2 linked regions of the Nothobranchius furzeri genome follow. The protein of the gene in region 1 interacts with the protein of each later gene in a biochemical or structural test. Links are inferred from orthologs where the notes say so. Each region holds a gene or a part of one and is shown in the gene's direction. Other genes may lie near its edges.

What was found.
Region 2: the proteins of poli (region 1) and polh interact in far-western blotting, tested with the Homo sapiens proteins (2 studies listed by BioGRID). The link is inferred for Nothobranchius furzeri from reciprocal best matches to the Homo sapiens genes POLI and POLH.

What each region holds. Positions count from the first base shown.
Region 1 is NC_091750.1:42,537,067-42,541,581, forward strand, and holds the start of poli (DNA polymerase iota), read left to right. Parts: upstream 1-1,543; 5' UTR 1,544-1,653; coding exon 1,654-1,732; intron 1,733-1,796; coding exon 1,797-1,916; intron 1,917-1,989; coding exon 1,990-2,154; intron 2,155-2,535; coding exon 2,536-2,682; intron 2,683-2,836; coding exon 2,837-3,073; intron 3,074-3,180; coding exon 3,181-3,359; intron 3,360-4,067; coding exon 4,068-4,159; intron 4,160-4,256; coding exon 4,257-4,390; intron 4,391-4,515. UniProt on the Homo sapiens protein: Error-prone DNA polymerase specifically involved in DNA repair. Plays an important role in translesion synthesis, where the normal high-fidelity DNA polymerases cannot proceed and DNA synthesis stalls. Favors Hoogsteen base-pairing in the active site.
Region 2 is NC_091752.1:33,811,608-33,815,857, forward strand, and holds the start of polh (DNA polymerase eta), read left to right. Parts: upstream 1-1,383; 5' UTR 1,384-1,598; coding exon 1,599-1,735; intron 1,736-1,992; coding exon 1,993-2,127; intron 2,128-2,251; coding exon 2,252-2,490; intron 2,491-3,808; coding exon 3,809-3,987; intron 3,988-4,064; coding exon 4,065-4,168; intron 4,169-4,250. UniProt on the Homo sapiens protein: DNA polymerase specifically involved in the DNA repair by translesion synthesis (TLS). Due to low processivity on both damaged and normal DNA, cooperates with the heterotetrameric (REV3L, REV7, POLD2 and POLD3) POLZ complex for complete bypass of DNA lesions.

The sequences.
Region 1 (4,515 bases):
ATCCAGACTCTTCTCATGCATTGTTCCACAAATGTGGAAAGACCTACCAAGCGCTACAAGAACAGGGGCTTCCTTTTCCACTTTCAAGAAACTCCTGAAGACCCTGCTCTTCACAGAGCGTCTTCTAAACTAGCACCCTCCCTGCACCCGTCCCCCCTCTCTACTGTCCACTCCTTGTTCCCTCCTCTCCATGATTCATCACGCTGCCTCACTGCAACCTACGACTGACTGGAAATTGTTTGTTGTTGTTGTTGTTATTGTTGTTGTTAGCCTCAAGAGCAACATACCGATTATAACTGGTAAATACTAGAAAATGAAAACTGTAAAAAAAAATTAATTAAACTGTAGATAAATATACTGTAGCTGTGATGGCAAATCATCTTCATCCACACCTGAATCCTCACCACAGATGTACATGGACCTTTTGTTTTTCTGGAAGTTGCAGTAATAGTATATAATAGTATAGTAATAGTATTAGCAGAAATACTAGACAACAGAAACTGGAACGGGTTTAGTGCAGAGATACTTACTGCATTTGGGATGGAAAAACAATGTGGGCACATCTTGCTCCTCATCAACAACTTTTGAGAGAAGTTTCCTCTTTCTAGAAGGTTTCCTGGTTTATTTACAAAAACCAATCTAACGTAAAAAACTAAAAAGCCTCAGTGAAAAACGCAGCCGAAAAAAGACAAAACTACGGGTGATCGAACAGTACAAAAATGGCAAAGCAATGTCAAATATGACTAAATATAATCTAAAATTACTAAATAAAAACATAAAGTAGGAAATTTACTGAAAATAATTATTTACACCAGTAGAAGAGATAGAAGTTGAAAATAGGCGTCCAAAACAATTCCTCCGCTCCCATGGCGAGAAAGAGGAAGAAGAAACTCCTCCTGTAAAATCTTTCTTATTAAAACACTAAAACGTTTTGGCAGCAGCATGAAGGCGTCTCGCTATTCATTTTCTCTCTCCCTTTCCTTTCTTCTAATTTATTTATTTTTTGTTCTTTTCTATTTTTAAACATATTTTTAGTCATTTAAACATATTTTTATACTTTAATTGTTTTGTTTTTGTGAAGCACCTCGTGATTTTTATCTTGAGAGGCTCTATATAAAAGATCTTCTCAACGCTAACATACTTTTTCTTTTGTTATATTTATTTAGCTGTAAACATAATTATTAACTGTATTTATGTAACAGAAAACACTATGTTTTTGTGACGTGAAAGTGCTAAGCCCAGCTAGCTATAGTGCTCCAGACAGTTCAGTTTTTTAGCAGTTTTTATAAATTTATATTCATACATTTTGCATATAATTAAATAAAATAAAAAAAGACAAATAAAGTAAAATAACAGTTCCCTGAGAGTTTTGCAAATGCTGGAAGCCCTGATATAAATGCGGAATTTACATTATATAAACAACATTTGTAAAGTTTATCAACATTCATACATTTTTATGTGTTTTTTTTTCTCTCCTGATGTCTTTGGCTGTTTGGTGTGTTGCAATATCTTCTCCGGGCCGGCCAGTGGCGCTGTTGCGCACACGCGCAGCGGAACTGTCTGTAAACAAAATAACAAAAGCATGTATTTATGCTGAACGTGATGTTAACGCCATCACGTTAGTCTTTTAAAATCAATAATAGCGACGATGAGATGGAGGAAGAACTTAGCGAGTGGAAAAACTCCTTCGTGGATTCAGCAGCTCTCTTTTCCACCTCCTCAGTCGCTTCTGGTAAAATTGTAAGTTTTTGGTGCTTCAGCTTGATTTGAAGATAACTTCTGTGTCTTATATTCAGGATCAGCTGTTAAAGCATCATCAGCTCCTTCACACAGAGTCATTTTGCATTTTGACCTGGACTGCTTCTACGCTCAGGTGGAAATGATAAGAAATCCAGCTCTGAGATGCGTGCCTTTAGGTAAACCTAAAATATTATTATGGAATATTAAAGTTGCTGAGTTTCTGTGAAGGTTAAACACTTCTGTCTTCAGGTGTTCAGCAGAAATACATCATAGTCACCAGTAACTACATGGCCAGGGGGCGGGGTGTTACCAAGCTGATGTCTGTCTCTGACGCAAAGGAGAAGTGTCCCGAGCTGGTGCTGGTTAACGGAGAAGACCTGACACACTACAGAGAAATGTCCTATAAAGTGACAGGTAGCCGTTCTTACCTATTTAGAGAATTTTATATCCTCCAACACATCAGATTGATTTTTGTGGGGAAAAATGTGCTGTTGGCTGTTTGATTTTAGTTATTAAATCCCAACAGGAAGCACATTAAACCTTAAACTATCATATGCAGCCAAAAAAAAAATAATAATAAAAGAGCGCCTTTTGCTATCAAAACTGGAAAATTAAAAATAAGTGTCACAGAAGTCAGTAAAGAAGATACAAATTTATATCGCAGCTGAGCTGCTACAAGAAATGTGTCCTTGTCTTCTGTTATTGTTATTGTGGGGAGAAAAAAGCTGATGTTTAAATTAGTTAACATCAAAAATGCATAAATTATAAATGTTTTCTGCTCACCTTCACTTTCAGAGCTGCTGATGTCTTATTGTCCCCTGGTTGAGAGGCTTGGATTTGATGAAAACTTCATGGATGTCACAGAGATGGTGGAACAAAAGCTCAAACAGACAGCAGAGCCTGGCTGCTTTTCCTTCAAAGGACGCGTCTACAATCACTCCAGTGAGTTGTGTGTCTGCCGCTGCACATCTGGCTCACTGAAACTGAAAGATAACTTGTGAAAGAGTTCATTTGTGACGTATTTGCATGCCGTTTTCAGTGTCACTCTAACCGTTCCATTTTAGATTTTTTTTTCTTTTTCTCCGTTCTTGCTCAGGTGCTGATGCTAAAGCCAGCGACCACCCCAGGTTGGCTTTAGGTTCTCACATCGCAGCAGAGCTGAGAGAAGCCGTCCGCGGCAAACTCGGCCTGACTGGCTGTGCTGGCATCGCCACAAACAAGCTGCTGGCCAAACTTGTTTCTGGCACCTTCAAACCAAACCAGCAAACCGTTTTACTGCAGGAGAACGTTGGCGACATTATGGGCTGCTTGAGCGGCCTCCGAAAAGTACCGGGTATGCACGTTAGAAAAATATTCTGATTCAGAGCTGGTATTTAAGGGTGGAAAAAACTTTAATTTGTGTATTAAATAACAACTTTGTGTTTCTGTGATTTCTTTCAGGCGTGGGTCACCAAACTGCTAAAAAACTTCAATCTCTGGGATTGGTCAGTGTTAAAGACCTGCAGGTTTACCCTTTAAACGACTTAGCGAAGCAGTTTGGAGGTCCTACGGCTCAGCGCTTGAAGAATCTGGTGCTAGGTGTTGATGATTCTCCTGTCACCCCCTCTGGAGCCCCTCAGGTGAATTTAGAGGCCCCAAAGACTTTCTAACACGTTTATCCTTAAGTAGCATTTAGTTATTTATCATATATTAGAAATGACCGCCATGAAGCTGTGAATAGATTTGGACTTATGTCTATTTAAAGAGCAAGTCACCCCCTAATCAACTTTATTTTTCTGATAAACTATATAAACGCGTGTCTAATCGTGCTGCAGACACGTGTAGTCAATAGTTTTGCACTTTAGTGCATTTTAGTTAAAGTTTAAATTTTCTGCTTAAAACTGTCGGTGTTGTGCCGTTGTCGGGGAAAACTCTGCACTGCATTTGAATTTTAATCTGCCATCGCTATTGGCTAAGAGGTAACCTAGGACATTAGCTGGTACCATATGATGTCACAATGTCGTTGTGAGCCTGTTTGTGTGTATTTGTTAGCGGCTCCGCCTTCTCTGTCTGCTAGGTAACAGCATTTGTTGCATTTTTCAAACAGGAAGTGGGAGTGGAGTAATGCTCTGGTAGGGGGTGACTTGCTCTTTAAGTAGAATTTTGTAGGATTATTACACTGACATTAATTTTATGCAATAAAAGTAGGTTTAACTAAGGACAATATCTCCAATAATAAAGATTACATATCAGAAACTATCAATGTATTGGTGTGAATCTGTCTTTAGATGCTGCTTGATCAGGAAATGGTGTTTATCAGTTGCATTAATGTCCTCTTCATCGTTCAGTCTCTCAGTGATGAAGATTCCTTCAAAAAAATGTCTTCAACTAAAGAAGTTGTGGAAAAGATTCAGCAGCTCTTGAGCAGTCTGGTAGAAAGGTCAGGACCAGTTTCAGCACCTCATCAATGGATCCATGGTTCTAATCTTTGAATGAAGACTTGCCGCTTCTACTTTGTCTTGTTTTATAAAAACCAGGATGCAGAAAGATGGCCGCCAGCCTCAAACCTTCAGGCTTACAATCCGAAGATTCACGACGACCAACAAGTGGTTCAGTCGGGAGAGCCGCCAGTGCCCGATCCCCAACAGCATCGGACAGAAGATCAGCTCTGGTGTGGCCACTTTGATCTACTTTTATTTAGTGAAACAAGTTTGGTTTGAAACACATTTCCGGATTAATCTCAGTGTTTATTTCGAGGCAGTGAGAGCCTCTTCTCCTGAACTTTAGATGAGTTTT
Region 2 (4,250 bases), on another chromosome or scaffold:
ACCTTTTCATGTTTATCAAACTGGGTTTAAGTACAACAGCAAGATAGACCTAACTTTTACATCTTTACATTTGTAACACAACAATTTGTATGTTATAACATACAGGTGGCCAATTTTTATCAGAAAATATAATATACTGATATTCCGGGTTAATTACTGTCAGTAGGCTATTCATTACCACTTCCTATAGATTATTTCAAAATAAAACTTACAGTTTTAAAATGAGCATTAACAGCATAGCTAGTTTAGATAAAGCCAGAATGTCTTCACTTATACAAACTATTTATCAGTGTGGGGGAACGTTGCTTTAAAGATGAGCTATTTCACAGTTCAGTTCATAACTAATTCAGTTTATAATTGATTTTTTTAAATTGGGTTCATAGTTAAAAAAACTAGTGCTTACTTATTTTTTCCAATATGTTTTGACAAGCTATTACCCTCAGAAAACTGACATTTTCCATTTGTTGCCATCTGTTCAGTCTACACTCATACAGTATATTCTCAATAACTTTAGGAAAAAATAGCTGTTGGAATGACTTTGTTTTAAAAGAGAAAATATTAAACAATCTGAGAAGAGAACCAGGCTAAGGAAACAAGGATGTTCCTCAAAGTGCAATTTTCAGTAAATATTTAAACTTGAATTATCTTTTAATGAACTCACTTTTGAAATGTTGTGAATTCATTTTCTGACTTGTTTGCCCAAATAAAAGAAAAGCTATTGAAGTTAGTTCATAAAGTGCAACAATCAGCCCCAAATTACTTAGAAAAAAAAATAATAACTAAATAAAAAAATACTTGCACAACTGTATGAATAGTGATTCCGGATTTTACCACTTAATGATGCATTCCAGTACTTCAAGTGTTGGCAAGACATTTGCCTATTTCAAATCACCTTTTTTCTTTTAGTGTAATTTATTAGGCAGGCTGTTACGTTTTGAGGTTGGTGGCAAGCAGGTAGGCAATAACTTTGTCTATATGAACTTTCTTTATTACAGGGAGGAGTGACGTTCATTTTTTCTCTCAGCACATCTCTGGAACTCCCTGAACTCTCCACAGCACCTCTATATCTATATCAGCAGTGTTCTGCTGCCTTCAAGAGTCAGAACACAACAGAAATCTATTTTTGGCCGTATTGTTTAATGTTTTCTTATCATTAATAATATTAGATTTTTATGTTTATATTTGTATTTTACTGATATTTATCTCCAAAATCCTACCTTTTCTTTTTACTGTTTTACGGTGCTTTGATGAGGTTGCTTTAAAATGTGCCTACCACAGGGATAAAATGACACATTTTAATAGGTTAAACGTTATAAATATAATTTAACACAATTTTAATCATAAACGTTGATTTTAATATCAAAGGGGAACAAATATACGCACTTTTCGAGGCGGGGGACATATTTCAACGTAACACAGATTTTCCTTGACTGTCCACGTTTGATGACGTTTGCGGTTGGGATTTTTTGCGCGAAATCTAATAGCTTTGAATTTAGACGCATTCTTTACTTGTTCTTAATATACATACCTTCCTCCAGCTGTACCTGACCTACGTAACGGGCGGATATATTTTAAGTGACGAAGTCTTTAGGTTTCTAATGGAATACGGGAAGGAGAGAGTGGTGGCGCTGGTCGACATGGACTGTTTTTACGTCCAGGTGGAACAGCGACTGAATCCAGCCCTGAAGAACATTCCCTGCGTGGTGGCACAATACAAGACGTGGAAAGGAGGCGGGTGAGTTTCCGGCACAAAATGTGTTTTAACCATAAAATAAACCTCATCTGGATAAGTTGACGCTGCGCCTATTGAAACCGGAAGTTGTGTTTTATTTTCCTATTTGGTGTGGTATACAATGTCTAGTTTCAGCTTAGTAAACATTACAAGCTCCTCAAAACGTATCTATACATGTCACTGTAGCAAAAGCAGGAGCAAAGTGAAGCCTCTATTTGTGCAAATGTTAAAAATGTATTCCTGATAATATCTTCTGTTAGTATTATAGCTGTGAGCTACGAGGCCAGGGCTCACGGTGTTACCAAGACCATGTGGGTGGATGATGCTAAGCAGTTGAGTACAGATCTCCAGGTAGCCAGAGTTCGCGAGTCTCGTGGCAAAGCAGATCTAACTCCGTAAGTGTAGATGACCATACACACCTCAAATTTCCTTGTTGCTTTTTGTTGAAATAGTAAATCCATATTTTATTAAACCTTACTTGTGAATAAAAACATAATAAAGCATAGTCACTTGTTTTAGTTACAGGGACGCTAGTGTGGAGGTGATAGAGGTGATGTCTCGCTTCGCTGTGATCGAGCGGGCCAGCATTGACGAGGCCTACATGGATTTGACAGCTGCTGTTCAGCAGAGGCTGAAAAACATGGCTGACATACAAATAGAGCCCAGCCTTCTTAAAACCACCTACATCCAGGGGTTTCCACAAAGTAGCCAAGAACCGTCTTCTGCAGGTGGCCCTGAAGGTCCTGTTTTGGGTAAAGGTAAACTACTAATCTGTTACTCATTAAACTCTGTGTTGGAAGTAGGGCTGCAGCTATCGAATATTTTTGTAATCGAGTACTCTATCGAATATTTTTTTCGATTAATCGAGTACTCTAATAAATTACCCTTTTGTATTTGTAAACCATTATATCAAATAGCATGTTATAATTATGAAAGACCTGTTAAAATGAGCAAGCAATTGCCAGTTATTCTTCAAGTTTTATTCAAAATTAGTTTTCAAAACTTCAGCACTTCAACTTTACTTCACAGTAAACAAATGGCTGTGCAAAAAATAAGTACACAACCTGAGCCGATTTTCCCCTCGTGCGAGAATCTGCTAGCCTGCAAGCCAGACAGAAACTAGGAGGATAACTGTTGGAAGTAGCGCTGCGAGCGGCTGCGGCCCAAACAGAACCAGAACCGCTCACGGTGCATGCGCAAACAGCTCGCCGGCTGTTTCCCTATTAACACACGTCCGTTTTAATTTCAACACGTTTTTACTCACACAATAACAAGGATTGTCGAGAAAGCATGTTTGCTGTGGTTTTGTCAAATTATACTGATCACAAAACATTTATTTACTTTCTTTCGTTTTCCTCTCATAAATACCCGTGTCCTCCTGCAGCAATCCCGAGGGACAACAAACATCAATAACACAATAAAAAGTCCGACGTTTTGTGTAAAAATGCTATTTTTTAGCACATTTTAAGTCCGACGTGTTGCTACCAGACGTACGGTGTGAGCTGAAACTAAGTGCTACAAACGAAAAAGTCGCACAGTGTCCGCAGAATATATGGAAATACAGGCTAAAATGCATTATCTTGTAGAGGCTCCGAGTCCGCTTGCAGAAGTGACATTTACAGGCGCTGCAGCAGCATGGAGGATGTGGTGTTGTGCTAGGCTAAATCCATTTTACAGTATTTACACTGGAGTACGTTTTCCGCCTAACGACGTGAAAAATGGTCCCACATCTTGACATTTTCTGTCTTTTTCGCACTCCACCGGGGTCCACGTTGTCCGCCATGGCTTAAGAGAAAGTTAAGTTACATTCGCTACTCGCGTGTGCAGTCCAGTGGGCATGTGCGTCACTTATTTCAGTCCGGGTGAAACATGACCACGGGCGACTGCAAAGCCACGAATTAATTAAATATGAATTAAACGAATCCTCGAGGCAGAGAATTTGACTCGAGGATTTTTTGTACTCGAATTATTCGAGGTACTCGAGGAATCGTTTCAGCCCTAGTTGGAAGTAACATCATCTAAAATGTTAAAACTATAAATTGAATTTGTGTAAATAGTCTTGATTTTTATCCGCAGAGGAGAAGAGATCCAGAGGTCTCCTCCAGTGGCTGGCATCTTTACCTGCTCCATCTTCGGGGGAGCACAGCTCTGCAGAGCTGCAGCTAACCGTGGGGGCTCTCATTATTGAGGAAATGAGAGCAGCTGTGGAACAACACACAGGCTTCCGCTGCTCAGCGGGAATATCACACAACAAGGTACGGTAAATTCTATTACAATTCAGACGCCACATTCATTTTATTGCAGCCATCATGGTCTACCATCTACTTTTAAGGTGTTGGCAAAGCTGGCCTGTGGGCTGAACAAACCTAACAGACAAACCATTCTACCTTTGGACTCTGTGGGGGAACTTTTCAGCTCTTTGCCTGTCAGTAAAATGTGAGTTTAAAGTCTCACAAGAATTTAATCATCACAAAAACGCCGATCTTCTGATGTAGCAGTGGAAAAATACAAGTCTGTA